Linked DNA regions of Styela clava. Each later gene encodes a partner of the first gene's protein in a complex. Links are inferred from orthologs where the notes say so. Each region holds a gene or a part of one and is shown in the gene's direction. Other genes may lie near its edges.

The links. The genes of interacting proteins can lie anywhere in the genome.
Region 2: eukaryotic translation initiation factor 3 subunit C-like (region 1) and eukaryotic translation initiation factor 3 subunit B-like share a complex: the UniProt entries of both Caenorhabditis elegans proteins name them as parts of the eukaryotic translation initiation factor 3 (eIF-3) complex. The link is inferred for Styela clava from reciprocal best matches to the Caenorhabditis elegans genes eif-3.C and eif-3.B.
Region 3: eukaryotic translation initiation factor 3 subunit C-like (region 1) and eukaryotic translation initiation factor 3 subunit I-like share a complex: the UniProt entries of both Caenorhabditis elegans proteins name them as parts of the eukaryotic translation initiation factor 3 (eIF-3) complex. The link is inferred for Styela clava from reciprocal best matches to the Caenorhabditis elegans genes eif-3.C and eif-3.I.

The regions. Positions count from the first base shown.
Region 1 is NC_135250.1:3,239,554-3,250,274, reverse strand, and holds the start of eukaryotic translation initiation factor 3 subunit C-like, read left to right. Parts: upstream 1-5,730; 5' UTR 5,731-5,819; coding exon 5,820-5,914; intron 5,915-6,948; coding exon 6,949-7,081; intron 7,082-7,942; coding exon 7,943-8,065; intron 8,066-8,345; coding exon 8,346-8,532; intron 8,533-8,869; coding exon 8,870-8,973; intron 8,974-9,643; coding exon 9,644-9,735; intron 9,736-10,636; coding exon 10,637-10,721. Other genes in the region: ubiquitin-like modifier-activating enzyme 1, read left to right, coding at 140-3,382. UniProt on the Caenorhabditis elegans protein: Component of the eukaryotic translation initiation factor 3 (eIF-3) complex, which is involved in protein synthesis of a specialized repertoire of mRNAs and, together with other initiation factors, stimulates binding of mRNA and methionyl-tRNAi to the 40S ribosome.
Region 2 is NC_135262.1:9,897,603-9,908,323, forward strand, and holds the start of eukaryotic translation initiation factor 3 subunit B-like, read left to right. Parts: upstream 1-5,444; 5' UTR 5,445-5,586; coding exon 5,587-5,752; intron 5,753-7,714; coding exon 7,715-7,907; intron 7,908-8,146; coding exon 8,147-8,266; intron 8,267-8,604; coding exon 8,605-8,662; intron 8,663-8,821; coding exon 8,822-8,950; intron 8,951-9,270; coding exon 9,271-9,428; intron 9,429-9,680; coding exon 9,681-9,830; intron 9,831-10,354; coding exon 10,355-10,421; intron 10,422-10,720; coding exon 10,721-10,721. Other genes in the region: Golgi pH regulator-like, read left to right, coding at 538-1,944; uncharacterized protein LOC120333244, read left to right, coding at 2,289-3,116, 3,413-3,526. UniProt on the Caenorhabditis elegans protein: RNA-binding component of the eukaryotic translation initiation factor 3 (eIF-3) complex, which is involved in protein synthesis of a specialized repertoire of mRNAs and, together with other initiation factors, stimulates binding of mRNA and methionyl-tRNAi to the 40S ribosome.
Region 3 is NC_135257.1:18,323,572-18,334,292, reverse strand, and holds the start of eukaryotic translation initiation factor 3 subunit I-like, read left to right. Parts: upstream 1-5,228; 5' UTR 5,229-5,454; coding exon 5,455-5,457; intron 5,458-7,202; coding exon 7,203-7,330; intron 7,331-8,353; coding exon 8,354-8,472; intron 8,473-9,023; coding exon 9,024-9,164; intron 9,165-9,859; coding exon 9,860-9,996; intron 9,997-10,721. Other genes in the region: uncharacterized protein LOC120346396, read left to right, coding at 982-1,894. UniProt on the Caenorhabditis elegans protein: Component of the eukaryotic translation initiation factor 3 (eIF-3) complex, which is involved in protein synthesis of a specialized repertoire of mRNAs and, together with other initiation factors, stimulates binding of mRNA and methionyl-tRNAi to the 40S ribosome.

The DNA.
Region 1 (10,721 bases):
TCAAAGGTCGGTTTACTCATAAATTAGTTGATTATTTGCTTTAGCCTAATTAATATTTTGGCAGAAAATTTTTCATTTTCTACAAAAAAGCAAGAAAAATTTGAGGGGGATTTGTGTAGCGGCAAAATTCGAAGCCTTCATGTCATCTGACGGTTTCAACGATAAAAAATCTTCAGCTAACGACAACAATATAACAAACTCTCCTCCAAAAAAGTTTCGAAAAGTTGACGACACGACGGGATCAATTTGTACAAGAGAATCAGTGATAGTAGCTGTAACACCCGGAATGGCTCAAAACGGAACAAAAATGGCGGAAGACTCGATCGATGAGGGGTTGTATTCACGACAGTTGTACGTACTCGGTCACGAAGCAATGAAACGGATGGGAGCTTCTAATATTTTCATAAGCGGCATGAAGGGACTTGGAGTGGAGATTGCAAAGAATGTAGTTCTTGCTGGTGTGAAGTCTGTTACTATTCATGATGATGGCGTTACTGTTTTATCTGATCTCAGTTCGCAGTATTTTTTGACTGAGCAAGATGTTGGGAGAAGCAGAGCCGAGGTTTCGGTTGGAAAAATTACCGAGTTAAATTCCTATGTTCCAGTCAAAGTTCACTCTGGAGATTTAACCGATGAAATCTTGAAAAAATTTCAAGTTGTTGTTCTTACAAATTCAAACCTAGAAGAACAGCTCAGAATTGGGGATTTCTGCCACAACAACGGTATTCGCTTCATTGTTGCGGATACTAAAGGTCTTTTTGGTCAAATCTTTTGTGATTTTGGTGAGAAATTCGTCGTTTTTGACAATAATGGGGAACAGGTTAGATCGGTTATGGTATCAGCTGTCACACAGAATGAAAAAGGGGAAGGTATTGTGGCTTGTATGGACGAGACTAGACATGGATTCGAAAGTGGTGACCACGTTTCTTTTACAGAAGTCAAAGGAATGGTTGAACTTAACGGATGTCAACCAAGGGAAATAAAGGTCCTTGGACCTTATACTTTCACTATAGGCAATGTCAGCAATTTGACTAAATATGAAAGTGGGGGAATCTGTACTCAAGTTAAAATGCCTACCCCTGTCAATTTTAAATCTCTCAGAGAAGCTATGGCAGAACCGGAGCAAGTAATTACTGATTTTGCAAAATGGGAACGTCCTGGCCAATTACACGTTGCTTTCCATGCTTTACATAAGTTTGTCGCTGACAAAAATAGTTTACCAAGAGCTCAGAATAAAGAGGATGCTGATACTTTGGTACGAATCACGGAAGAGTTGAATTCGACGCTACCAGATGGTGCCAAAGTGGAAAAAGTTGATGAGAAGTTAGTACGACAACTTGCATATGGTGCACGAGGTGATCTTTGCCCTATGCAGGCAGTAATTGGCAGTATCACTGCACAGGAAGTAATGAAAGCGTGTAGCGGAAAATTTAACCCAATTAAGCAGTTCTTGTATTTTGATGCTCTTGAGTGCCTCCCAGAGGATGGGGAGGAAAAATTGGATGAGGGATCTTGTACAGCCATTGGTGATCGATATGACGCTCAAATCGCAGTTTTTGGAAAAGATTTTCAAAAAACCGTTGGTCAACAGAAATATTTTGTTGTTGGCGCTGGTGCCATAGGCTGCGAACTTCTCAAAAATTTTGCTATGATGGGTCTTGGATGTGGAGAAGGAGGGAATATCACTGTAACAGACATGGACATTATTGAGAAATCAAATCTTAATCGCCAGTTTCTGTTCAGACCATGGGATGTTCAGAAACTCAAGTCTGAATGTGCAGCCGCTTCTGTCAAGAAAATGAACCCCCAGGTTAACATCATTGCTCATCAGAATAGAGTTGGACCAGAAACTGAAAAAGTTTACAACGATTCTTTCTTCGAAGGTCTCGATGGTGTCACAAATGCTTTGGACAACATTGATGCAAGAATTTATATGGATCGAAGATGTGTGTATTACCGTAAGCCTCTGCTTGAATCTGGTACGCTCGGGACTAAAGGAAATGTCCAAGTTGTTCTGCCTTTTCTCACAGAGTCTTATTCTTCCTCACAGGATCCCCCTGAAAAGTCTATCCCAATTTGCACGTTGAAAAATTTCCCGAATGCGATTGAACATACTTTGCAATGGGCACGTGATGAATTTGAAGGGATTTTCAAACAACCAGCTGAGACCGCTAATCAATTTCTTACTGATGCAAAGTTTTTTGAACGAACCGAGAAACTGCCTGGAATGGAACCTATTGTTACATTGGAGTCTGTTTTTTCCTCTCTTGTCTCGCAATATCCGAAATCTTTCGTTGATTGCGTGAAATGGGCTCGTACGAGATTCCAGGAGCAGTATTATAACAATATTGCGCAATTACTACATAACTTTCCACCAGACCAAAAAACAACATCTGGTGCTATGTTTTGGTCAGGACCTAAGAGATGTCCCCATCCTCTTGAATTTGACGTGAATAACGAAACCCATTTTGAATATGTTTATTCCGCTGCTCAACTAAAAGCTGAGATGTATGGGATCAAGGAAAGAGCCAGCAAAGCTGCAGTTGCAAAGGAAATTTTACCGACTATTAATGTTCCAAGATTTCAACCGAAATCGAATGTTAAAATTGCTGTGACAGATTCTGAAGCACAGGCACAATCTCAAGACTCATCTTGGGACGATAGCAAATTTGATTCAATGAAATCGTCTTTCCCAGATCGTGACTCGTTTGGGAAATTGAGACTCGTCCCGATTGAGTTTGAAAAAGATGACGACACCAACTTCCACATGGATTTCATCGTAGCAGCGTCAAATCTGAGAGCGGAAAATTATGAAATCGCTCCCGCAGATAGATTGAAAAGCAAGCTTATTGCTGGTAAAATTATTCCGGCAATTGCAACGACAACTTCTCTTGTTGTAGGATTAGTTTGCCTTGAATTGTACAAGATAATACAAGGTCACAAAAAAATGGAATCTTTTAAAAATGGATTCGTGAATCTAGCATTGCCATTTTTCGGATTTTCAGAACCGCTACCTGCACCAAAACTGAAGTATTACGACACCGAGTGGTCACTGTGGGATCGTTTTGAAATTGACGGAATCAAATTAGCAAAGGAGGGAGAATCAGAAATGACACTGGGTGGTTTTATGGAATATTTCCAAAAGGAATATAATCTAGAAATTACGATGTTGTCTCAGAACGTAGCGATGCTCTATTCCTTCTTTATGCAACAAAGTAAAAGAAAGGAGCGTCTGGCTACAAAATTAAGTGAAGTTGTTCAGAAAGTTTCGAAGAAAAAGTTACGTTCTCATGAAAAAGCACTTGTTCTGGAGATCTGCTGTAACGATAAGACTGGAGAGGATGTCGAAGTACCCTACGTTCGATACGTCTTTCGTCATTAACTTGACAGACATTTGAAAAACTTTGCTGCATGTAGTCTATGTATTTTTTCTTATTAGGTAACTCAATAACCAGAGACGTTGAAACTACAAATATATTGTAGTTGTATAGTTAATTGTACAGGCCAATCTAGCAAATTATAACCCTTTTTAAGTGGTTCAAAATGATTGAGATAAATGCATCTTACCATTAAAAATCATCCTTTTGAGAAAAATGATATATGGGAACACTTTATTTTTCTGGGTTTTTGTCGAGTCTTGCCCGGCTAAAAACTAAATGCATTGATTTGAAAGGCTACTATATTCCCAGTAGATATTTTTACTTTGCTTAATAGGGCAATTTATTGTGCTTTCTGTTTCTCATATTTTTGTGTGAATTTTCTTTGTTATTAATTGAGAATAGGCAACTAAATTGTAAGTTGTTATTTTTCATTTCAAGTGTTGTAATTAACTTAATCTTTGATGAAGATGAAAACTCTTGAGAAGGGAGCAGTAGTTGATTGGGGTACCACTCTAATCGACCACTCAATTTGTACGATTCTTATTTCAACGTGTGAATCTTTCCTGCAAATGAGACACCAGATAAGTCTTGACTTCAATTTATATTCAACTATTATCTTTGCCTGAGGATAGATAACCATGACTTGTAGCTAGACCTCTTACCATCAATGCTTTTTATATGTTGAAAGTGATTCAAGATTTTCCACCAATATCATTGAATTATTTACCCAATATAAATGCAAATGAAATCCTAATTGCATAAAAAGTGAGAAATAATACCATTATACAAATGACTAAGAATTTTTTATTCTATTTCCCTGAATATCTCAAATCTGACAAAAACAAAAAGCCATGAAATCCTAGTTATCTGGAAAATAGCATGGTGTCCAGAATATTGCTTCAAAATTTGATGTCTATTTTCGTGGATAGAGCTCGAACCTGACTAAAAGACAATGTGCTCTAGTTTTCAGTATCTACTTTAAATGTTTCTTCATGTCCAATGTTCCGTTTTTTTGTTCTGCTGTCCTATGAAGTTTCTAAATAGTTGAAAATCTTCACAATTTCTTGGCTGGCGATAAGTTTTCCTCAACATTGTACCGTTTTGTGGACTGTTTTTTTCTATACTCTTGAAATTGTAGAGGGTTTCTGCCGTTTCTCATTTAGACTGTAATTAGGGAAGTCTAAATTCTAATAGTTTGACAGGGTACTGTTCTGATTTGAAATTCAGTTTGAACATGAATTTTCTATACAGATTTAAACTGTATCACTTAAGTTATATATGACATGAAATGCCATTTAAATAATATGTTTGAATTGAAAACTGCATGTTCAGCAAAGTCAGGTATTTGAGTAAATTCCAAATTAACTAACTTGTATTGAATTCTAGATTCAACCACACTACAACATAAGGTCTATCGCTGGATTTTGAATCCCCAATGAATATGATTTATTTTTAACCCTGTCCCTAACCATAACTTGGGTAGGTAACGTGTTGCTAGACCTCAAGCTATCATTTATAATTCATAATATAAGTTGTTAATTTTGAATTTATTCAAATACTTGATAGTTTTGTACAACCTTGTCTGTTATGGTAACGAAAAATTGTTCAGTCTAAATATCAAGTTCATTATTTGTGTATATTTTCCTAAAGTTCTTTTCATTCTGGGCAATGTAAAAATCTTGGCGAGTTATCATTATTTTCATATTCCACTTTGGGCTCGACATGTTAAAGTTCAAATATTATTTTTTGCTTCATTTAACTCAATTAATATGAGTTTGTCAAACTGTATATTTTCACCTTGCTTGTATTGTATAACTAGACAATGACTTTTGAAAAACATATCGATATTATCATTAGGATAACAGTTCAGTATCATTCGTTATTCGAGTCTTATTATTGACCTCGTTGAAAATTACAATCTTTTATTATATTGATTAGACAGACCAGGAGAATATTGCTTGCTTTTTTCCACAAGTCGACTTTTAATGAAACTATAGGTCTTTCTTTAATTTTGAAAACCTATACACTTTATAATTTAGATGTTTAAAAATTCGTTTCAACTTATTAAACTTCTGTTGCTACTCATTAACATGACCAATATTTCAATTTGACAATTATCTACAATAGAACATCAATAAACATGATTTAAAATTTCAAGATACGTTTTTACAAAGAAACATAGTCAAATCTTGTTAATGTATATACCATGAGCATTCATATTATCAAAATAGGCATAGAATTACAGTTTACCATTCTAGAATTTTGGGATGATATTGATATGTTTTTCATTGTCTACACTTTTCACATGTCTCATTAAAGTGTTGTCTTAATTCGCCACATTGTTTTTTTTGCAATAGATTGTTGCTATTTCCAGTTAGAATTTTGGCCAAAATAACACAATTTTTGTGATCTTGTGGCTGCATTTTTCAAGAAGAAAATATGTCTCGTTTTTTCGGAGCATCGAGCTCCGATACTGATGAGTCCTCAAGTGATGATGGAATGGCGCCTGCACCACAGAGACCACAGTCAACTAGGTATAGTGGAATTCGTTATTAAAGTTTTATATACCACCATTACTATTTACATTTTTATATAGTGATTTGCCACCTTCATCCTGAGCAAGGCTCTGTATAAGCAGCCACTGATACGGGTATTTTGGAATGACACATGCAATCCTTTTTTACTTATCTGTTTCAAATGTTTAGTGAACTTAACGCTTTTGGGGTTTGTCACAAAATTCAGTTATCCCCATTAGAAGTATGAAATTCAGAAGAATCAGAACTCTCAATTCTGAAAATTTCATAAGCGTGACCCCCAAACAATTCCAATGTTACCCGCAAATAGTTTGTTGTATGCAAGCCTTTTTTAATTATAGACTGAGAATCCTTATGTTAATACTTTTTGTGATCTACCAAAAATGTTTGGTACTCCCGAAGTATGTCAACCAAGATGGCGGACACAGGAGCGTAGTATGTGTACCAGGTTAGGGTTAGGCCATAATTTCAGGTACAAACACTACAAGGGAGTTACTTGGCTAGTCCCCGAACTCATAATAGAACTAAAATAAAGAAAATTGGAATAAAATTATGGCCTAACATAACCTGGTACACATAGTACGCTCTAGTGTCCGCCATCCTGGTTTACATACTTTATGAGTACCAAATTTATACCTCAAATTATCACCATTAATTGTCTATAACTCATACTCTAACAAAAAAGAATTCAAATTCCTGTATCTAACCCCTTTGACTTGGAAATGCAACTCTCACTCAAATAACAATAAAGACGTTCCAACTGAGAGTCAGACTACACTATTCTGGTTTAAATTCAAATGGACAGCGGAATGTAGTATGTGTATCAGGTTAGGGTTAGGCAATAATTTTGTTTCAATTTTTTTTCATTTTAGTTCTATACTAGTTCGGGGACTAGCCAAGTGGTATTTGTACGTGAAATTATGGCCTGACCTAGTTCACATACTACGTTCCGGTGTCCGCCATCTTGTTTACATGCTTCGGAAGTATCTTTACTTTTGCTTTTCACTGACTCATAATGTTTTTACTTTTCCTAGAGTTTTTCTGATGAGTGATGATGAAGAAGATCAGAAGAGAGTTGTGCGAAGTGCGAAAGAAAAATCTTGGGAAGGCCTCGAAAATTTGATCAAATCAATGAGAAATGCAAGAAAGATCAACGACATGGTCAAGGTATTTCAATTTTTAACATTTTATGAAACATTTTCTATTTTTTTGTTATGAATAAAGCTGATATAAATATGCACAAACGGTAAGCAGTAAACGATACAGAATATTATATAGATATTAGAAACATTGCTTAACTGATTATTTATTTTCACCTGCTGCGTTTGGTTTAGTACTGTGTCACAAATTATGTTTCTCATCTCGTGTTCTTTATTGAAGCTCAGCAACTTTGTGTCAATTTCATATTATTGGTGGACATAGTGCGTCTTAGAGGGGTTGAGTTTGCTTTACTTCACTGAAAAAGTGTGACTTTGCTTTGAGTAAATTATAAAACAAACAAAAATGTGGCTGTATTTGCTAAATAGCGCATGCTCACAAAAAAGTCACTGGTATGTAAGGTGCTACACACTATTTTTGAAATTGCCAGAATCTTGCGTCCCTGCATGCCTACCCGATTCTTTCCGTGAGGTCATGAGTATGAATTCAAGATGTTAATAACCTGCGAGGTAGTTTATTTAAGTCACTCTCACTACTAGGTCACAAGTTGTGTTTAGTAATTACTTATCGATTTTAATCGGTAAGTATGTTGATAGGTATTTGTCTGTTTGTCTGTCTGTTAGATGCGGGCGATATCTCACGAAAGCGAGATTGAATCTGCTCCAGATTTTGCATGTGCATTCATCATATGCCGGACCAGAAGCCTATTGATTTTGGATGAATTATGTTGTATAATTAACGAGTTATTAATTAATTAGTGATAGGACACAAGCTGTCACTATGGAGTAATAGCGCTGTTTTGGGGGATCCCCTAACTTTCGATCAATAAGTCTTCAGTCTTTGACCGATATTCTTGTTTTCTTTTTTCAGGTTCTGGATGATTTTGACAATCTCTGCAAACAATATGTGAAAGCAAAAAATGTGATTGCAAAAGAAGGAATTCCTCCTTTCTACATCAGGAATTTGGTTGAAACTGAGGACCATATCAATGAGGTTTGATTCGTTTATTTATATTTTTATATTCATCTCTGAGGAGAGGAAAGCCAATAAGACAGCTTAATCATGTGACGAATTCTGTATTGGATTAAAGCCACTGTATTGTCATTCCCCACAAAATTCGAACCTGTAAACACACACAGGATAATCAGTGTTGCAATGACATACTTAGCATAATATACCACATTTCAAGTATATAAATGGCTGGAGCGCCGGCATTTCTTCATTCACAAAGATGCAATATTATTATTCGCACCAAATTCTTCTCTTTTACCAGCTATGGGAAGACAAGGAGGCTCGTAAGAAGATGAGTAAAGTCAACTCAAAATCATTAAGTACAATGAGACAGAAATACCGTCGTTACATTCGGGATTTCGAGAAGGAAATGAAGGAATATAGGGAAAACCCAGATGCTGTTGAACATCATAAAGAAGAGGAACCTTCAGAGCCAGAAAGTTCTGATGGTAAGTCTGGGCCAAACAGGAATCGCAACAGTAGGGTATTATGTTGGTAGTCGTGGTACTTCAACTATGGTAATTTAATTTGTATTCCAAAATATTAACAATATGTGTACCTATACAACATTAACTTTTTAAACGTGTACTCAATAAACATAATTAAAATGTAAAAAAAATTTCCAATTGCTGTACATTTCAGCAAATATCTGTGGGTTCCAGGGGATTCGTTCGTGTGCGATGACATCATCGAAAAGTGTGCACATAGTGATGGTTCTGCTTTTGCATTAGTCTTGAAGTTTGTTGTAAAATATATGACAAATATGTACTTTGCCATGTTTTTTAGATGAAGTCCAACCCACTGGATTCCTGAAAGCCCCTGCCAAGGCAGCAACTAGTTGGTTGAAGAAAGAACCAAAAGGAGGAGATGATGATGATGATGACAGTGATGTAAGTTTTTGGGGAATGGTCGCTAAATCCTGGCACAGAAATTAAATGTTATGGCGGAACAAAGTCTTAAGTTTTCATCTTAAAATGTATTTAAAAATTAATTATTAAACGTTACGCCTAAATATAAAGAAACACAATCATAAATAAGCCTTGAAACGACATACTCACTTTAAGTATAAATATAAAATCACATCTTTGTGTTGAATGCTACGATAATTGTTATTATCGGTCTTGATTGTGTATTCTTGGCAACAAATAAATTGATATCAGGTCTAAATGACCAGCTCTGTTTATGAATGATGCAATCAAGACTCTCAAAAACCGCCTCCTTTGAAACTCCCCCTCCCAATCCCCCCCCCCCCCCCCCCTTGTTGACCAGTGCACAATTTAGCAATTGATATTATTCTGTATCTTTTAATGGGTCAATTCTTCAAACTGCTTTCTAATTGCCCAACCTTTAATTGCCCGTTTTTACTAATTAATTAGTGTCTGCTCTGCACTTTCCTTAATTAAATTGCTAGCCGCTCAGCAAGTGACAGCTTTGTGAATCGCATTTTTCGTTTTGCACAATCTAGCTGTTATGGCTTAGGGTATGATAATAGGCGCAGGGGTAATAATGAAATAAAACAATTGTTTTATCCTTCCTTATTAATCATGATCTCCCATTTAGATCTGGATGAGTTCTTCTGAGGATGAGTCTTCTGATTCTGACGCTGAAACTGGTGGAAGGCAACTCACTGCTGAGTATTTCTTGAAAAAAAAGTAAGTTGTAGGAAATATCAGTCAATCTCATCATTTTAAATTTCCATTTTCAAAATGTTTCAAAATTATTAAAAAGTCTATGTAAGTCTATTTCATTCAACAAAATAACAGGTTTTTAGAAGCTAATTTATCATCATTTTTGTGGCTTTTTTACATTTTATCAGGCAAGGTTTTGTCCAAGCAGCCACTAATATATAAAGAGCTAACTTTTTTTGTAGAGATTGTTAATGCCATTGCTTGCCTAAACTATTATGTGAGGTGCTCATCAAGTTGTTTTTGTTAATTCGGTAAAAACGTTCAATTAGAAAATCACAATAAACATAACCAAAGTAATAACTCTCAAGATACACCAACAGGAATGAGCTCTCAAGCACAGAAAGCACATGGCTACTTCACCTTCACAGCTTGGTCATGATCATTCATCTGAAAATGATGACATCACAGGTCATGCTTAGCCATCTGGGAAAATACTAGTTGACAGAAATACAATAAAGTTTTATTTTACTGTTCCAGGGGGCTCGTATCTTGAGCTTTTTGCGGTATTCTGTCTCAAAATTCACTATAGTACTCTCCAAGTATCGGGGAATACTTGTGTAGATCATTGGGTACTCCCGTAGTATGTGTACCAGGTTTTTACCATAGTTTTATTCTAATTTTCTTTATTTTAGTTGTATTACAAGTTCGGGGACTGTCTGTGTTAGCCAAGTGAATATGCCCTGCCCATAGGTTTCAGTCCCTTTACACAACTTGATGTAAAGTAGGCGAACAAAACTAGTTGCCTTCATATTGGTACACACACTTCTGGAGCACCGATCATTGTTCATATATTACAAGGAAATGTCTTATAATTTTGTGTGTGTCCATGTTTTTTAATCGAAATATGGAAAATCCTTCTATTCAGACCTGGTACAGAGAGTAAAGAAGAAACTGATAAACCTAAACGAAAGAGAGAACAAAAAGAGGGAAAGAGTGGGAAAAAGAGTGAG
Region 2 (10,721 bases), on another chromosome or scaffold:
TATGATTAAGCCGTCTTATCAGCTTTCCTCTCCCCCTGGATAAATATGTAAATCCTATCCTACAGTCCTATCCTATAGGCTTTCGGTTATTTAGTTTCGGGATTTGGATTTGTTTTTATCTGCGATCAAAGATGAGTGATGAATAACACCTAACATGTATACCGTACATACACAGATACAGTGCCATTTTACCAATTACATCAATCGATCGTCCTGACATTTGTACTTTGTGGATTGAGGTTCTTATTTCAGACAATGTGATACATGCTGCTGCAGTCCTGCAGTCTACTGCAGTATTGACTGTACTGGCTGACTGGCCTGATGCATGATTAAAAATAAAATTGTATTCTATTGTATTGTAGATAGGTTAATTACAGACTTATTAATGCAGTAATGATTCTGTAACTTGCGATTCTTATATTTCTGCATTTAGTCTACTAATGATATTGTGATAAATTACAATTTTCAGTTAAATAAAAGTTTGTAACATATCCGTCTATCCAGTATTGTATCAGTGTATCTGGTTGGTTTTGCAAAATGTCATTTGCCACAGATTCATTGATTATGCTTACAACACAGATCTTATTTTTTGGATTTGGATGGGTCTTTTTTCTATGGCAGCTGTTCAAAGATTACGAATGTCATCATCGAGCTGTTCAGCTTATTTTCGCAGCGACATTTGCTTTATCATGTACCATGTTTGAGCTTATTATTTTTGAGATATTAGGTGTGCTGAATTCAAGCTCAAGATATTTCCACTGGAAACTGAACTTGTACATTATGCTTTTTGTAGTTGTGTTTGTCTTGCCATTTTGTATTGCTTATTTTGTTATAAGCAATGTTAGCATGTTTGCAAAATATAAAATTCCAGCTGCATGCATTATATGGCTTATATTTATGTATTTTTTCTGGAAAATTGGTGATCCATTTCCAATTCTGAGTGCTCAGCATGGTATTTTGTCAATTGAACAAGTAATAAGCAGAGTTGGTGTTATTGGTGTCACTGTGATGGCATTACTATCCGGGTTTGGTGCTGTTAATTGCCCATATACGTACTCTTCCTATTTCCTTCGTCAAGTCACAGATTCTGATATTCAGCTTATTGAACGAAAGTTGATGCAAACGAATGAAATGGTAATAAGCAAGAAAAAAAGGATTGCAATCGCAAAGTATCATAATTCTTCAAGAAATGCTAATGAAAATGTTCCACAAAGTGGAATTTGGGCACGAATTCGTAATGTGGCTTCTCCAATTTCTTCACCTGGAAACGAAAACGTTTCGTTACTTCAACAAGAAGTAATTGCTCATGAAGAATTAAGCAGACAGCTGTTTCTAGAAACTGTTGATTTACATGCCACGAAGGAACGGATTAAATATTCAAAAACTTTCAAGGGAATGTACTTCAATGTTTTAGGTTACTTCTTCTCTCTGTATTGCATGTGGAAAATATTCATGTGTATTATTAATATTATTTTTAACAGAGTTGGTAAAAAGGACCCAATAACGAAGGGATTTGAAATATTAGTTCATTATCTCGGCTTTGATGTCGACGTGTCATTCTGGAGTCAACACGTTTCTTTTATATTAGTTGGTATTATGATAGTCACATCAATTAGGGGTCTTCTTATAACCCTTACAAAGTTTTTCTATGCGATTTCGAGCAGTAAATCTTCAAATGTGATTGTTATGGGGCTTGCTCAAATCATGGGAATGTATTTTGTTTCTTCTGTTTTACTAATGAGAATGAATATGCCTGCTTCATATCGAGAAATCATAACTCAGGTTTTGGGGGAACTCCAATTTCAATTCTATCATAGGTGGTTTGATGTTATTTTTCTTATTAGTGCCCTTAGCAGTATAGGATTTTTGTATCTTGCGCATAAGCAAGCTCCTGAAAAACATATAGTTCAAGATGTCAAACTATCATTATCATTTAATGACTGATCTTACAGAACTGTGTTTTGCTTGTAAGAAAGAATTAGATTGAATTTAAACATTAGTATTGAAGGTCTAAGTTTATCTTTTGAGGATTATGGCCTAAGTAGATTTTAATAAAACAGTATACCAGTGGAATATACTGCCATAATATGGATATACTAACAAAGTAACAATAAAAAGTAGAATTCATAATTATAAGTTAATGCAAATGTATTAGCGCAGACATGTAAATTCTTCCATGATTTTTGTAAAGCATGTCTGAAATGATTTGTTTTCATGTTCTTTTCTTTTAAAGATAGCATAATGTTTCTCAATATTGTGAGTATATAAGATGAGAGTGAACCGAAGCTATGATTGAATCTGAAAATGATGAATTGAATTTCATTGAAGGCGACAATGCTGCGTTACAAATAATCAATGATGAAGGAACATTACGTTTTCTTACTTCGGACTACATAAATGAGAATAATAATATTGATGAAGAGGCCAAGGAAAAGGATATAAAAGAATTGACTGATGCTAATATAGAAAAGCTTCGTTCTCGCTACTCTGAAGTTTTGGAGAAAGTAAAACCCACAGCGGACCCTGCAAATGCTTTCAATATGTTAGAAAAGGTCCAAGGTGGTAAATCAAGTGATTATAGCATATTGACTAAAACTATAAACTCTTTGGTGAAAGAAATTGGAATCCATGATTTACAAGATTTTAGAATCGAGGATATTGTGTTGCTTGTTTTGGACATGTTCACAGCATTGCGACAATACATACATGAATTTAACGTGCAGCATATAATTCGACGGCGTGTAAAATCGGCTATTACCGCAAACAAACAACGCAACAAAGATCAGCTCAAGTTTGGTAATATGGAAGCATATTTAAGTGATCTTTACAAATTGTATCCTGAAGTTGGGACTTTAGCTTCTGGTCGATGGTTGACCAGTGCTGAACGTCCATACAAAGACACTGTATTAGATATAGTTGAAGCAATTGGTATTAAAGATGCACATGATACAAGGATTTCTCATGCTGTCACATTAGCAATGGATCAATATCCTGTTTTGAGAGACCAAATAACTAATCCAAATTTACGGAAACAGTTTTTATCTAGAATCAAGAGAAGCTTTTCGAATAAATCCAAAACAAAAGTTAAAAGATCGTCCAATGACGAAATATGCCAGGTGAGCAGTGAGCATTGTAACAGAATTTATGTAGAATGGCCGCCTTTGATAATGTATAGCTTCGCTCTTGTCAATAACACAAATTATTGCGTGCTTGCCGTATAGCTTGATAATGTGAATCTTATATTTCTATATGAGCCACATTCAAGTAGCAGAAAAACTTAATGTTAATATTGTTTCATTGCTTGGTAATATGAATCTTATATTTCTATATGAGCCACATCCAAGTAGCAGAAAGACTTAATGTTAATTTTGTTTCACTTTTTTTTTTTATTCATAACTGCTTCTGTTCTCAGAATGAAGATATGTTTGATCAAGATAAATGTGCAGGCTCCAAGATTCCTAGGATAGAATTGGTGATTGAACAGGATGAAGAGAATGAATGTTTTCTAGACTGCGAAAAATTATAAGGAAATTCCACTGTTTTTACTGTTGACACAGAGGGTCTTGCACAAACATGTAATTCGTCCATTGCAATCACAGATAGAATATGTTATATGTGTAGCAAACTGGACGCATTCACAAGATAATGTCTGCCTATACATATTATGTGAAATGAAAATACCCCATGAAATTGAAAGATCATTTTAGTTCTTTATGCCTCAAATATTTCTATATCTTTCCAGATTTAGATAATGATGCAAACATTATTGGTTTAGTGGCAAAGTTAAATATATTTTATAGCTTAGTATATATATAAATATTCTTACTTTACTACATCTCCATGTTTTCACGAGTATTGTATCTTTTGTTGTAGTTATTTTGCCTTATTTTTGGTGTTATGCAATTTTGAATAAGTTTTCAAATATTATAAAATGAGGGTTTTATGTTGTGACCAAACTGCTGGTTTTGTGATGGACGCTTTGACACAACTGTTGGGCAGTGTTAACCCTAGACGTTTCAAATATAGCACACAACTTGTTTTTAAAAAAATATTTTTGCAAAATAATATTACTAGCTCGCGTATAAAATATGGGAGGAGAATAGCCGATGGTAATAAGAATGTGGGAATTTTGGGTTTTGCGCATCTGTATTTATAACACTAACAACTCGTTTATATAATGGACAAACAAGTTAGATCTTTATGTTATCGTAAAAAATCGTATGTCATATGAGAATTGACTAATGGTTGAAACACATCGGATTACATACATATATGCGTATCACGTGAGATAAATGAAAAATCCGCATTTGCGTGGCAAGCGGAGTTTGGCAAATCAATAACGAACAGTTGGTACTCCTGATGTACGCGCACCAAGATGTCGCATAACCTGAACTCTAACTTGGTACACAACCTGAGTTCAGGTTGTGCGCCATCTTGGTGCGCATACTTCAGGAGGTCCGAACATTTTTAGTATATATATATATTTTTTGTTTGTTTGTTGGAAGCGTTAGTCGTTGGTTGAAAGTAATATAATTACTTAGTTTTGATTGAACAATCCATATGTGCCATTTTGTTTGAATCGAACTCGTTTTTCAGTAGCCTATTGGTTATCCCACTATTTATCGAAACAGCCTCTACTGTTTTTAAAAACAGTACAGAAAATCACTCCTCGAAGAATCTTTTCTAATGATATAGGACTAGCGCGTTGTATTTGACTTCGTTTAGGTGAGTTTATAATGAAATCCTCCTTAACGGTAGATAAAAGGAAGACAAAAAACAACAGAGGCTGAAAAACTGAGGGTCCTCAACATTTGAAAGTACAGAAATCGGTGGTTTCCTAAATGTATTTTGAATCGAAACCTGAAATCACTAGATACCCTGTAGTCAATGCTACTTCATCTGAACATTCTCGATTCCAGTTTTTATGGATATAAATATATTCGTAGAAATATTTTTGAATCTGTTACAGTAGCATAGAAAAGATTAATAGAGTAAGGGTTATTGTTTCGTCAACCAGAAAACAAGCATTGAAACATTGAAAAACACTCAAAGTTGCTGGGGAGTGATACGACCATGCGGTCATCTAATTGGGTCATCAGAGTTAGTTCCCCATACCCACTATTATGTAAAAGATCCCGAGTTCCAAAGTATGTGAACGATGCATAAAAAAAGCTACTTTTTGCAAATCTGATTCGCATGCTTTCGCATCTGGGTTCTTCGGTCCTTATACGGACAGACAGTCCTTGCCAGATTTGTCCAGGGATTGAACCAAGTTCATACAGATTGATAGTTTTTCCCTTATTTGAGACATAAAAATAGCATGAAATTAATTGGCTGCTTTGTCGTCTTGAGAACTAATACGTAAACACAAAACGGTCAGAATATTTATCACAAAAGGAATATTTGGCGCTCATCTCAGTTTTGCGCCAGAGGGCGCTAAATTTCTGAGTCCAGGAGCATGTGTTTCTTGTCAGATATTCTCATGCTGCGTGGCTGCTTTTGTGGGTGGATCTTTGATTTCTAGTTTCATTGCCGTGTTTTCGCAATATTATTCATAAATTCTCATTAGGAAGTTTGTAATGTGTAATGACGCGTAATATAAATGAAATGGACGAGGAAGAGCAGTGGGAAGATGTTAAAGGAAGGAAGAGAGGACAGAAAAATCAAAATGGGGATGGATTGTCAAACGACTTTGAGAAAGAGCCAGACTTCAGCGATCCAGAGGATTATGAAGAGGATATCAGCGATGAAGGTATGGGAGTGATCCTTATTGCACAATTTGGGGGTTTTGATAATGTCAGAATGTGCTTTATTTCAGTATTTACTGCTTTTTTTTCATTTGCTAATGCCAGAATGCAGTTAAATTAACTCAAGCAGTCAGGTTTCTGCAACACGTTAACTTGCAGACTTGGTAATTCAGCCACAGGAGTGGTGACTTTTCTATGGGCCGGGGCCACGGTCCATCTAATTTGGCCACATGCTGACATGGGCCCATCAGGAAAAGTTCAATTATCTTACCAAAATTTGCAATTTTTACAAAATTGTCAATATTCGAACCGAAAAAAATTGTGAGATGCTACCAAATTTTGGGTCTGGTGAAGTACACGCCGTCAAGTACTTCTACCGGGCGTAGCATAACGATTTTTGCATACAATATTCCTAACCCTCACCTAAGTACGTCACCCAAAAATTACATCACTGCGACGTAACAATCGCGACATAGAGCTTGCTAAATTATAACTACAATCGTTCTAAATGTCATCTGTGCCGACTATAATGAACTCACTAACCCCAGCGATCTCTCTCTTATCGTTATCGTTACGGCGAGAAAACGAGAGAGTAGATTGCACAATTTCGGATGATTGTCTGCACGACCACACGTTTACTTTGGAGGGCCTTATTACGTCACTGCGACTATGCAGTGATGTAATTTTTGGATGACGTAGTCAGTGAGGGTTAGGAATGACATATGCAAAAATTGTTGAGCCAGGCCAATTACAAGTGCTTGCGGCGTGTACTTCACGAGACTCCAAATTTTTTTCTTACGATGGGCCTTTATATAAAAATAAAAATAAAGCAAAATACCAAGCAACAGGATAGAATACTCCTGTAGTATGTGTACCAGGTTAGGGTTATTACAAAATTTTGTTCATATTTTTTACATTATAGTTCTAATATGAGTTCGGGGACTGACTGTGTTAGCCAAGTGAATAGTCCCTTTACACAACTTGATGGGCCGATTCCCAATTCGATGGGTCGTGGCCCCGGCCCATACGTCGTAGAAGAGTCACCACTCCCACTCTAATTCAGGGAACTCTGCAACTGCATGAAAGTTTCTGATAGAACTGCAGAATGTTTACACTGTTCTTTTTTATTGTCATATGGCGTGGCTGTGTGGGCAACCCTAAAATGCGGGAAACGGGAAATGCACTGAAATGCGAGAACCACAGGAAATTGCCAAAACTAAAATGCAGGAATGACGGAACTATGGGAAATTTCACCGTCGTCGTGCCAGACGCCCCTCTTTTGTGAGAGACATGGAGTGTTTGTTTTATTGAACCAAATGGAGGAAAATTCTTGGAATTCGGATAGTGTGCTGTATTGACATCTAGGAGATAGTTATGTGCAAGAGGATTGCTGGACTCCTCGCCGCCGTAGGGTGGTTCACGTACTGCTGGTTGGTTATGGCTTCCTCCACCATCTAAGCCATGCTATCGAAAACAAATAACTAATCTCATACCTGACATGGAATGATAACCGGAGGCCCTCAGCTCCCTCTCCCTCCAGCCCCCGGGATAAATATGTAAATCCTATCCTATTTTTCAATATTATAAATTTTGGAATTTATTTTAAAATGTCAAACAATCCAACGTCTTCTGATGGCCTGTGTCCATGGTATCTTTTTAAAAATATTTGAATTTACGGGATGGTTTATCCACTTTGCGATCAACTTATTTTTAAGCTGCAACATTCAGAGGTTAACTTCCTATGCACACTTGAAATGAATCACTGAAATGATCTATTTGGGATCAAACAACAAATTTGCAGCCTAGCTCTGATAACCTATCTGCTGTGTTGATGCTACCAAAACTGACAGTAAAGACAAATTTGATGTATCTCGTTGGAATACCTCTTAGAATATATTATACATATATATTATATACTTTTTTATAAAATTGAGCATATATTATTTATATACAACTTATATATTCAGAATTACTGGGAGACATTCTGAGAAAGGAGCCAAAAGAAGCAGATGGATGTGAATCTGTAATTGTTGTTGACAATATACCTGTCGTTGGTGAAAGTAGACTTGAAAAACTCAAGTCTGTTTTAACAAAAATTTTCTCCAAGTTTGGACCAATCCAGTCCGAACATTTTCCACAACAGAATGGACAAACAAAAGGGTAAGTAATCGCTATGTTGATTTTAAGCAAACTTTGAAGTTCTTAATTATATACATTTTTTATTATTAAAAGAAGACATCATAAATAGGCTTATGATATGAATAGGTAAAAGCTGTTGCGATCATTTTAATGTATTCAAATTATTTTTAATTAATTTTGATCTTGGTCGTTTTCATTCTTGCATGCTCTCTTCATCCCTCTCATTTTATTGAATGAAATTCATCATTTTCTTTGTTCAGATACATATTTATTGAATACACTAGACCCGAGGATGCATTAGAAGCAGTGAAAAAGGCTGATGGATACAAGCTTGACAAAGCTCATACATTCAAAGTTAATTTATTTAATGATATAGAAAAGTATGTTATTCCATTTGTTTCAAATTACACTAGAAAATTTTGAGGCGAAATTTATGTGTCTAAATTTTTCACAGTGATGTCATTGAACCAGCGTTCTAGTTGAAATTGCAGCAACATTTATGTTACAGGTCTTAAACGGAAAATGGTTTATGGTGTTCTGAATAATTTCGATTTTTTAGAGCCAAATTTATGCTGAACGTTGATTTTGAAAACTATTTTGGATGTTAACTATGTTTTATCTGTACCTACTGTGATCTCGAAAAGTGACCTTCTCGACGTTGATAATGTATAAAATGTGATATCTATTGGTCTGATATGTTATGCCTTGAAAATTTCAGGTTTGACAACATTGAAGTTACTCAAAAATCAGCAGAAAAACAAGAATTTAAAGATATGGTATGATTTTATTTATCACTGTTTGTTGAACTTGATGATATATTTTCCATCTCCGTATTCTCCTTTTCGTGAGTATAGACTTTGTCTGTTTCCATATAAAATTTGATGTTTCCATACCTTGAAATTGCTCACTCAATTTTGTGTGTTATTTTTCTTCAGGGAAATCTCCATTATTATCTTGAAGAAGAGGATTGCAACGATCAGTTCAGTATCATATATGAGGGAGGAGATAAAACAGCAATATTTTTAAACACTCATACTGAACCAGCATTACTCGAAGAAAGAAAGGTTTGAAATTTTAATAAAGGCTAACTCTGAGCAATAAACGTTTTGTTGATAAAATTAATTTGTGTGCTTAATTACTTTCAATCCTCTCTTTCAAGTTTCTCCTGTTCATTATTCAGAACTTCCATTGAAAAATTAGTTTTCGAATTCAAATCTCATGCCCACCACCTTACCCAGAATTGGGAGGTGAGTGATGCCGGATCGAAATGATTTTCGACATCCCAACAACAGCATCTATTTACATGTCATTAATTATCAGTGGCACAAATAAGCGTCATATGAAATAAATAATCAATATATTAATCAGGATATTATATTTTTAGAGATGGACTGAGACATATACTCGTTGGTCACCACAAGGAACATACCTCGCTACTTTTCATCAAAAAGGCATCGCACTTTGGGGAGGCGAAAATTTCAAACAGATTCAGCGTTTTGCTCATCAAGGAGTTCATCTTATCGATTTTTCTCCATGTGAGAGGTGAGATCGTATGCTGTAAAACAGAGTCTTCTTTATTAAGACTTATATTATTTAGGTTAAAGATCTTCGATGTGCTTTCAGTTTTCTGTCGACTGTGAACACACCACACTCATCTACAGTCAGTGTACACGCCAGACAAAAAAATTTTTGTGAAAGTTTTTTTTTTTCTTGGAAAATTCTTATCTGGACGTCGCAAGCTGTTTTCCATCTGTAAATTATCATAGAATTTCCATCTCGCAAATTTGTTTCTAGGTATTTGGTAACCTTCAGTCCAATGCAAGCTGGTCGTACTACCGAAGAACCACAAGCTATTGTTATATGGGATATTTTTACTGGTGCAAGGAAAAGAGCTTTCCATGCGGATATGTCTGGAGAAGAAGACAGGCAATGGCCAATTTTCAAGTGGGTTTTATTCACTGGATATAGTGTTTTTGCCCTAGTTTTTTAAACTCCGTAAATTTTTTTAACTTTCATACAAAGGCAGATTTCATCAAGACAAAACGTTACAATTTAACTATGTGTGACTGTTATAGCTCTCAAACGTGCAACATTGACCGTAGCACATATGGTTTTTATTTTCATTTCTCTTTTGATTGGAGAAAAATTATAAGATTGATTTACACAAATGAGTTTGGGAACTACAAAATTGGCGCTCCAGAAGATTGCATACCAATATGGAGGTAACTAATTTTATTCGCCTACTTTACATCAAGTTGTGTAAAGGTACTGAAAACTATGGGTAGTGGTTATATTCCCTTGGCTAACACGGACAGTCCCCGAACTCGTAATAGAACTTAGAAAAGGAAAATCCTAGTAAATTATGGCCTAACCCTTACCTGGTACACACACTACAGGAGTACCCTAAAATTACCAACAATGTCCAGATTTTTGCTAAAGCAGGTATTCAACTTTGTTATTTTTTACAGATGGAGTAACAGTGGAAAATTTTTTGCCAGGAAATCTAGCGGAGTTTTGAGTGTTTATGAAACTCCAGTAAGATTTTTGTTGTTATTTTATAGTGTCATTTCATAAATATGAAAATGAAAAATGGATAAATTTTAACACAAAGCCAAATTAAAGAAATAACCCAAATAACCAGATTAAAGTACCCAATTATTGATAGTGAATGCGGAAAGATCAGTGTCATTAGTTTTGTTTTCACATTTTTCACTTTTAACACATAGATAAAATGGAGAAATAACCCAAATCACTAGATTAAAGTAGCCCATTATTAATAGTGAATGCGTAAAGACTAGTGCCATTAATTTTGTTTTCACATTTTATTTGTTTAGT
Region 3 (10,721 bases), on another chromosome or scaffold:
GAAGGCTATTATTTTTACTTATTTCAAAAATTTCTGTGGACTTTAAGAGATTCGTTTTTTATGTGTCATAATAAAAAATAGCGACACCCTGTGACGTGTCCATATATTTGAGCACAGCTCTCTTGATCATCGTATCTTGACAAAATTCTTAGCTAGTGTTACGCTTACTCGGACTCGAAATTTTGCATAGTTTGAAGGGTTTGTATGTATTCATAATTATGTATTGCAATGGTTCTACACAATTTTAGTAGAACTACACGGAATGCAAAGTAATATTTCTGGATTTCCATCCCCAAAACAATTTTTCACACCATCATCGTATATAGTGCAAAACCTTCAGTGGATACTACCAAGAAAAATCGAAAGACTACGTAAAATATATTAATGTTTCAATCCAGAAATTAAAATCGTGAAATTAGAGGCTCTGAGCCCAAAAACAAATGATAGCAAATAATGAAGTATACTGTGGTAGTGTAATAACTGATGAACATGCAAAACTGTGAATTTTTTAATTTAAAAAAATCTCACGTCAGAACGACTTATATGTTCTATTTTTTTATATGAAATTTTCACACCGAACTTTGTCGTTGCACTCATTACTTATCGATTTTAATCGGTAGGTATGTTGATGGGTATTTGTCTGTTAGATGCACGCGATATCTCATGAAAGCAAGATTGAATCTGCTCCAGATTTTGCATGTGCATTCATCTTATCTCGGACCAAAAGCCTATTGATTTTGGGCGATTTATGTCGTATAATTAGCGAGTTATTAATTAATTAGTGATGGGACACAAGGTGTCACTATGGAGTGAGAGCGCTGTTTTGGGGGTTCTCCTAAGTTTGATCGATAAGTCTTCGGTCTTTGACCGATATTCTCGTTTTTTTCTTTCTTCCAAGCCCACCTTTAATTTTACATGTGCCTTTTATCTGGTTTATACATTTTTTTAAAGCAACTTATCAATTTCTAATTTTATTTTCAGATCGACCATACACAACGGCTTACTACGGAGCAATCGTCTTCAAGATTATTCCTACCCTTCCGTCGTAAGCAGCACGCAACAGCTTCTCTGCTTAACTCCTAGTAGGGGTGGAGTTATTACCCTTGGATCAGACGACGATGTGAATAGGGTTGCCAGACTGAACGAGAACAATCCCGTTACATTGCCAGCGAGAAAACCCGCTGATCACGACAACGGAACACCTGTTCCTCTCGCCACTACAATAGTCACAAAAACATCTGGCAACGATAAACAACAACACGGAAGCAACTTTTATAGACTCATGCAAAAGAGCAATTCTCCAAGACCACGCACGTCAACCGCACATGGGCACCCATTTTCACTAGCCAATATACATTACAAACACACTACTCAAATACGTAAACCATACAGATATCCAGCTCTTTCGCCGAGTGCAGTGAATGCAAGAAAAACTGACGGCACGGTTTCTAGAACACCGGTATTCGAGCGCAATGCAACTGCAATGAGCATGGCTAAAAGTCCAGCAAATACTACATTTAAAATCATCGAAAACCACGTCAGATGGAATCGCAGGCTACCGGTATTTAATCCAGATGATGCTCCCAATGTATATCCATACCAGCCATGTTTCACAATACACGATCCCGGAGCTCAATCGCGTAAGATGGCGCCTGTACTTCGGGTTATTCCTGCGTTTCCACAAACTTCGAAGATCCAGCAACAAAGAAGGGTCAAGGTCGCCAAATCACCTGTTGATACAGAGGGTGCGTCACAAAAGAAAGTTCGTTTTACGGACCAATTCGGGCTTCCCCTCGTTCGAAATGCCACACCTAATTACAGGAGAAAACATTCGTACATTTTAAGATGGCTGGAAACTGCAGGCAGACCGGCCAAAACGATTCCTTTAGTGTGATCTGTATATATGTATGATTTCTCACTTTTCCTCGCAGTTTTATTATAGTATAATATCTTTTGATTCGACTTTGCACTTAGTACCGTGTCACCTCGAAAATAATCTGAATTTTAAAATTGATTTCAATATAAGCCCTCCCCTTAAAATAAGACCTAGTTGATGACAAGAAATCTTTCCTACACGTTTTAAATGATTAATATATATATTTGAAAATCTGGTAATTCCCTACTTTGTAATTTTGTTTTATGATAAATGAAAATAACCCCCCCCCCCCCACACCAATTAAAAGAAAGCCTAGTGCTATTTTTTAAACGAAAATTGGAATGAGTCTCTGTCTCATTTTCGGGGAAACACGATGCTTAGTAATGACATGAGGTCAACTGTGACAAAAATTGTACACAACAATTATATTTGATCTGTATAATGCGACCAACAACTTTGCCAATATGAAATTGTGAAGCTGCATCAAAGCATATGCTTAGGAGATTTTCAGATATCAATATCGTATACTGTACCACAAAGTCGTTCTTTTTCCTACAAAGATTTCATTTGATATTCCATACCTTTAATTACTAGAAGTTGGAGACATATTATTAACAATATTTTATTGAGCACTGCGAACAATAGTACGCAATTGTGCCTTTTCTGATTGAAAATTCTATTTAACGGTATTGATTTGTTTAAGTATATATCATGTCTCGAAGGCAGCACGGTCTGTATGTTGAATGGCAACCTTAACATAAAAATATATTAACAAATATCCATTGAATCCTATTTATAATTATATTTGCCTAACTACTTTAAGGTGCGGAGATAAGTATTATAATAAAGCACCCTAGCACTAAAAAAATAATTGTTTCTTGATTGCGTTAATCTTATGAGTCAGGACTGGGAAGTGCTACTATTCCTATGAAAATGTCTAAAGAGTCCTAAAGCAGCTCAGGTCAATACTGTACAATTTAATTCGGAATAATTCTTCATAATGCATTTAAATACCTTTATTGCATAGAATGTTTTGAAAGCTTTGTATTTAATACGGGTATTTGAGTATTCCGGTTTGGAATCTTAACCCTCTCCGGGCCCCTTTATCTTTTAGCAGTGGGAAAATTTGATATTTGGGGAAAGCAATACTTTTAGGTCATATATGATTAATTTTTGAAAATTTTCGACAGTCCGATTCCCTGGGGGATTTACTGGATGTTGCGCTAGTGCAACTTCTGCCCAGAAAGGACTAATTCTAAAATATCACATGTATGTTGTTCAATCTGCAATACCTTATAACATGACCGGTATGTATACCACAATGGTTGAAAATATAAATGGTATTGTCAAACTTATTTCATGGCTCATTTCAAAACTACAATTATGATTAAAAGTCGCAATAAAATGTAAACAAATGTTAATATAGATCATGTTTTTGCACTCTTGGTAGTTTCTCAAGTCAAAATATTTAGAAAATGCATATGAGTTGTCCCTTGACACTTTCATTTACCTATATTTTTTAAATTATTCGAAAACTTTGATTTTCCATATATATCAATGCAAGAATATAGAAAATCAAGCGTTTACATTGAAATAATTTTGCATTTACTTGCTGTAATGTATTTTATCGGAGAAAGAATTTTTAGCGTGAAAGTCATTTTGATTACGCTACGCAGCGAAAAAATAGGAAACCAAATTTTTTGGTAGCAGAAAAATCGTTAGCAATCTGTGTGTTTATTTACAGGTTTACGATTTCGATATTTTTGGACGGTTTGTTTCCTCTTTTTACTTCAGACTCTCGTTTGAATTTATCGACCGACCCTGCCCCCAGTCTAAAAGACGGCCAGTCGTAGTTTTCTGCAGCATTTGTGTTCAGGCCAATTCTATACCAATTAATATAGATTGGTTTATGAGTAGATTGCAACACCTTTATGGTGTTGTCAAAAATTCGGGGCAGAGAAAAACTGTGCTCTCCCGAACATCGAATTAGCTTTTATGTTTATCTGGCTGAACGGCGACGCACTCGGACTTTCAAAACACGACTAAGTTTTAACTCTAGATTCGTTTTTAGATAGCTATTGTCTGTCCACATAAATTCCAACAGTCAAAATGCTGAAATGGTCTGATTTTTTAGGCTCAAAATCTTAGCTACATAAATATCGTTCTGGAAAATTAGGTGTTTTATCAAAATCAGCGTCATCGACATATTCATAATTGTAAGTCTCAATTGCTCCTTTGTCTGAAAGTGTGGCATTAGAAATACGCGCTAATCCAACGCAATTTCTGCAAAAAATCTCCCCTCTGGCATATTTGCAATTGTTCTGCTAGATCGCTGAAAATACAAATTTGAATCAATCTGAGACACTTCTCTATCATTCTAACCCCGTATTTATGGCTAATATACCTCGATTCCATTTGTTTATAAATCTGAATCATAACACTTGTGCATACTTTATGTCACGCCTCCTAAATCTTCTGTTTACAAAAGAATTATCGGAACCCAAATTTTTTCCTATACGGCAAATTCTCATATACTGCATCCTAATGATCCTGATTGTAACTTATGTGACACAGGAAACTCATAAACTACGTTATCTGCTCAATAAGCCAATATAATTGACGAAACTATACAGATGAATCTTAGCTAATTTCACAACCGAAATCCACTTCTGAGGGAAGATGTTGCACCTATGCAACACTAATTTTAAACCACCCCTCATGAAACCACATAAATCGTTCGAGGTTGCAATCGGTTTGTAAAGCCTCTGTAAACACCATTCTTTTACCCCGTGCACAGATATGACGAATTCGGTGTATATTAATTAGTATAGTTGCTTAAAATATGACCATGGTTCACCAGCCTGACACGAGCACCGGAGACCGCATCTTGCTAAAGACGCTTGCAGCGTCATCAGGCAGCGGCAATGCAAAATAGCAGTTGCATCGAACCAACTAATTATCGCAGTAGTACGTTGAGTAGAAAAAAGCATTCTGCGGCAGAAAATGTGCGTCATAGCTAGTTTACAAGATGTTGTTGCATACGTGTTACGCATTCCCGGAGAGGGTCAAACCGGAAAATATATATCAGTTGTAAAACAAAATCGTGGGAGGAGCAAGAATTTCATTGATAATCTATCTCGTGTTTCACTATGTTCTAGAATACAAAATCCATTCAAAAAAGGGTCAAAATATATAAGATTAGTTTTGTGCTACTTGGTGGAATCCCAGTCATAACATTAGTAGTCAATTATCGGAGAGCCATAAATAAATAAATAATTTGCATCGTAACTTCAAATCCATTTTTGCTCAACAGCGCCAACTCGAGTACGCGAATTATTTCGTTGAGATCTAACTCGTGTTTAGCTCAGCTTACTGTTCGCCACATGTTGTCTTCAGCTCTGTGGCTTCTACTATCTGACAGTTCTAGTAATTATACCTACAGTTCAGCAACTGGCCCTTGAGTGCAAGCATTCGAACGGCTTCTATCGCATTTCTCTTTGTCCATAAAGTCGTCTCAGTGTGTTATTGGATTTTATTTCTGAAGATTTTCTAGCGTTTGAAATTAAGTGGACTGGGATATGGTGAGTTTTTATTATTTGTCCATCTTTCTGCCGGCCTGTGCATCATTTTTTGTTTTAGCATACTTTTAAATATCACTGTACTGTTATAGTGCAAATTTTGGGTCAGGTATTATTTAGTACCACATGCACTTCTAGATGGCCTGGCTCCACAATTTTTGCATATGTTAATCCTAACCCCCACCTGACTACGTCACCAAAAAATTCCGTCATTTGGACGTCACAGTGGCGTAATAAGACCCACCAAAGTATGGAGAGGGTCGTCCAAAACGCACAGCTGATCACCCGAAATCGAACAAGCTAGTTCTCTCGTTTTTGCGTCACAACGATCACCATAGAAGAGAGATCGTCGGCGTTAGCGAGTTCGTTATCGGCGGTGCAGATGCCATTTCGGGCGATTGTAATTATACTTTGGCAAGCCATATCACGTGATGGTGACGTCCTAGTGACGTAATTTTTGCATAGCATAGTCAGGTGGGGGTTAGGAATAACAAATGCAAAATTCATTATGCTACGCCCACTGGAAGTACTTGTGGTACCAAACTATACTAGACCCCAAATTTTTTCAATGGCTCAAGTTAATTCCAGTATCAAGTCCATGCTAATAACTGGCTAACTAATCCCATACCCGACCTGGACTGGTAACCGGACGAGAGGCCTAGGTTCGCCATATGATTAACCTTCCTAACCCGCCATTCCCTAGTCAAATTTTTAAAATATTTTTAATTAGCATTTGTCACCTAACCAATATGGCTTGAAAGGCCATTGAAGGCTTGTTTGAATCGTATTATTGTTTTCTATACGCAAGAGGTCGCTAATGGACCGCTCCATGTACGAAATTTTGCGTACGTGAGAAAATTCATCGACGATAGTAAACAAACATTCGAACCTCTCTCCTTTATGGCCGTTGAACCTTACTTATGATAACGGCACTCTCTCGCAAGCGTTATAGCCGTTTTGGTGTTTGTCTTCCTAACAAAATGATATCACAGGCAATGGTGTAGCGCAAATAGCTGCCGAGTAACGAAGCGGTATATTTGTGAAGTCAACGCAGTTCTTGTTTGTTTATTATTGTGCGGGTAATTATTAGTGCGTGTTTACGCGAGGAAAATGGGCGCTCGGCCGCGCAAATTACTTTCTTTCAAGTAATAACGTATTCCTTTGTATGTTTCTTAGCTTTCAAATATTTACAGATATAAAACTCGTAAAATTGGAAATATGCCAAAAAGGAGTGACGCACAACCCGGGTGCAAAAACAATCGGACAAGCCTATATCATGCTTGAAAAAGGCGCGAAAATGTCTTATTGGTTTTGTTTTGAGTGAAGTCCATAATAAGACGTGTACATAAAGAATGTTAACTCTTACTGACCAATCATATTAGAGCCATATTCATATTGTAGTTAGTTCGCATCCCGAAATAACAGGGTTAAGCTGTCTTATTGCCTTATCGGCTTTCTTCTCCTTCAAGATGAATAAGTCAATCTTAAGTGGGTAAACTGGCGCATGTATATTTACATATATTAAACCTTTATAGAGGTTTTGCCAGTTTTCCAATCTTCTGTGTGTTCATTGTTTGTGTTTAGTGTATGATTATTTTTGCGGGAAAATCAAAATATATATACTTATACTACTTATCCTATTCTTCACCTATACATGGTAGCTTCATTCTGAATTCCTAATTGGGCTTAACTAAAGGATATCGCCTTGACTCAACTTGATGTCAAAGTTCTTCTATAATATATTTCAGAAACCTTTAATTCTTCAAGGCCATGAGCGTGCAATCACTCAAATTAAATATAACAGAGAGGGAGATTTATTATTCACAGCAGCAAAAGATGCTTCACCTAACGTCTGGTTCACAATAAATGGTGAAAGGTAACTTGTTTATAAGTTTATTTCGACTCCATAATCAGCAGATGATAGAATAATTGATAAAAATAAAATAAGTAAAACTGATTATAGAATCGGGAGAGCAACCAAAACCTTAGGTAGGGTTTAAAGTGTACAAAATTTAGATGGAAAGGTATTGATAAAAGAAGTAGTTCATGTTTGCTCACCTCATTTAAATATTACATCATTTCGATGACATTTTTTAATCAAGTGTTTGTTACTTGTTTATGTGATGCTTGTTCACATCTTTCGTTTCGAATAAAGTCCCTATGCGGCAGCCACTGATAGCTATCGATATTTAAGAAGCTATTATTTGTGAAGGATCAGAAGCTTTTTGGCATTGCCTGCCTACCCAATTCATTACATTCTCAGTGAGACGGTTGACATGGGGTGAGATGATGTACAACGGTTTGTATACGCTTAGTTTCCTGCATTACTGAGATATTTGCCAGTGCCAGGACAACCCTATCTAAGCCTAAATGTCATATAAATCCAATTGTATTTTATTGCCTGTCTTATGTCACCTTGCGGTCAGATAATGTAAAAGCTTTTGAAATCCAATCTCACCTTGGAACTACATTCATGTGTTTTGAATTGAATTATCAGTTCAGCTAAATTCCACAAGTAGAACAGAATATATCACGACAGTGTGGCACATCGTGCTAAGCCACTGCACCTCTGATTATCCTGCGTGGTCTTGCAGGTTCGAATCCCATGTGGGGTTAGTTATGTGCGAGGATATTGCTAGACTCATCGCTCTTGTAGGGCGGTTCACGCTGTTGGTTGGTTACGGCTTTCTCTGCAATCAAGTCCATTCATTTGAAAACAAATAACTAGCTAACCAATCCCTTAACTGGACTGGTCACCGGACGGGAGCCCATGGTTCGCCATATGATTAATTTGTCTTATCGGCTTTCCTCTCCCCCTGGATAAATATGTAAATCCTATTCAAATTATTAACGATATAATTTTGCCACTCTTGAAATTTCAAATTTTGTTCTATTCTAGGTTAGGATCATATGATGGTCATCGAGGTACAGTCTGGGCAGTTGATGTGAACTGGGATTCAACCAGAGTCCTAACTGGAGCTGCTGACCAGTCGTGTAAATTATGGGATTGTGAAACAGGTATTGAAAATGGTCAATGAGAGAGATGGAGATAAAAATTTTGTCAAACCAGAAAACATAATGGGGCCTATATAAATAAAGAGAAAATAACAGAATCAGAAGTTTTGGTGGTAACGATACAACCATTTACTATCATTCAATACAAATACATAAATTAACACAGGTTCTGTTCCATTACTGGTACTAATTCATATTGAAAAAGGGTGGAAATTTGTTTCTAATGCTTAGCATACTTTCAATATAACTCTGTGCTGAAGAGAAAGTTTTTTTGTAAGTTCGCTCAAAGCACGGTGTTCAAATCTCATTTCAAGTGTGATATTACACACAGCTTTTTTGTGTTTTAAATGATTCTCCATCTGATTTTATTTTAGTTTTAGCACACTTGGTCTGTGTATAGTGTCAGAGTATCAAAAATTGGATAATTCCATCATTGTTTGTTTTAATCTGATGCCTTCTTCTATATTTATCTCTTGAATGGCTAAATTCTTGTCTCTATATCAATTTAGGTTTATCAGATAAAATCAGATTGTAACTATTTTCTTATTTACCAGGTGTCTGTGTGAACACATATCAAACCAAATCATCATGCAGAAGCGCAAATTTCAGTTATTGTGGAAATCTTGTTGCATATACAACAGATAGACAGATGAAGCATGAACCTATGGTATCAGTGCATGATATCAGGCAACCAGGTAGAATTTTTATTTATTAGGCGCTCCAGAAATATGTGTACCAATATAGAGGTAACTAGTTCTGTTTGCCTACTTTACATCAAGTTGTGTAATGGGACTGAAACCTATGGGCAGGGAGTATATTATATTCACTTGGCTAACACAGACAGTCCCCGAACTCGTAATATAACTAAAATAAGGAGGATCGGAATAAAATGATGGCTTAACTCTAACCGGGTACACATACTACAGGAGTACCATGTATTATATTCAGGGTTACCCTTGAAAACAGAACCCAGAATAAGGCTCAGAATAAATTGGGATCTTACTTGAAAACAAAAAGATATTTGATAGAATTAAAACCACAAGCAAACACATTGATACCTTATATGTAAATATAACTAAATAATATAACTAAAATAAGGAGGATCGGAATAAAATTATGGCTTAACTCTAACCGGGTACACATACTACGGGAGTACCATGTATTATATTCAGGGTTACCCTTGAAAACAGAACCCAGAATAAGGCTCAGAATAAATTGGGATCTTGACTTGAAAACAAAAAGATATTTGATAGAATTAAAACCACAAGCAAACACATTGATACATTATATGTAAATTTATCTTTGTCAAAGAGATGAAAATAAATATCTATGCCTATCAATTTTTTCAATCATCCAGTGAGTAATAATAAAAAATATCTATCTTACCCAGCTGATGCCGAACCTACATTACAATTCACAATGGATACCAAATCTATATCAAAACCTATGTGTTCATTATGGGGACCTCTTGATGAATATATTATAACAGGACATGACGATGGAACGTTGGCTCATTGGGATATCAAGGCAAGTTGCTACAGAGATATATTTTTTTTCGTTCCACAGTGATTAATGCTTCAATAATGGGCTCCAGTTCTGGCTTATTATTAGTTCGTTTTTTGATATGACCAGTACTATAAACATAAGTGCAAATTTTAAAATTAATCTGAAATTTAAAACTTATGAATTAATATTGGAAATTGAATTCAGAAATTAAGAGCTTAGAAGGATAGATTTATTTTTATTTGTAGGGAGTGTTAGAAAATGATAAATGTGAGAAATACGGAGGAGGTTAGGAGCCACTGCAGTTTCTAGTAGCTAGGCTCCAGCTCCGACAGAACGTTACATCACCTCAACTCCGCTTCTCTCAAAGATTGAAATGTTCATTTTACAAGCCGATGTACCCATTTAAGAATTGTTTAATACCAGTAGTTTATTAATAGATTATCACTGACAATCATTGAAATATTCAATTTGATATCATAGTTCCCTTTTTGGAAAAGCCGAATCTGAAACAAACCACTTTTTCACAATAATTCGCTTGCCATTTCAAATAAATTTTTCTGCATGCATGTCAGTTATAATTCAAAATTACTGAATTTTCTGAATCTTTGCTAGTACAAAAGGTGTCCGTCAAGTTCCTTTACAATTTCAATTTTGTTATGAAATAAGTTCTCAATATATCATAACCAGATTTGTTGTTTTTAATAAATTGTTCAAGTACTTTTACTTCATTTGATACATCTGTGAGG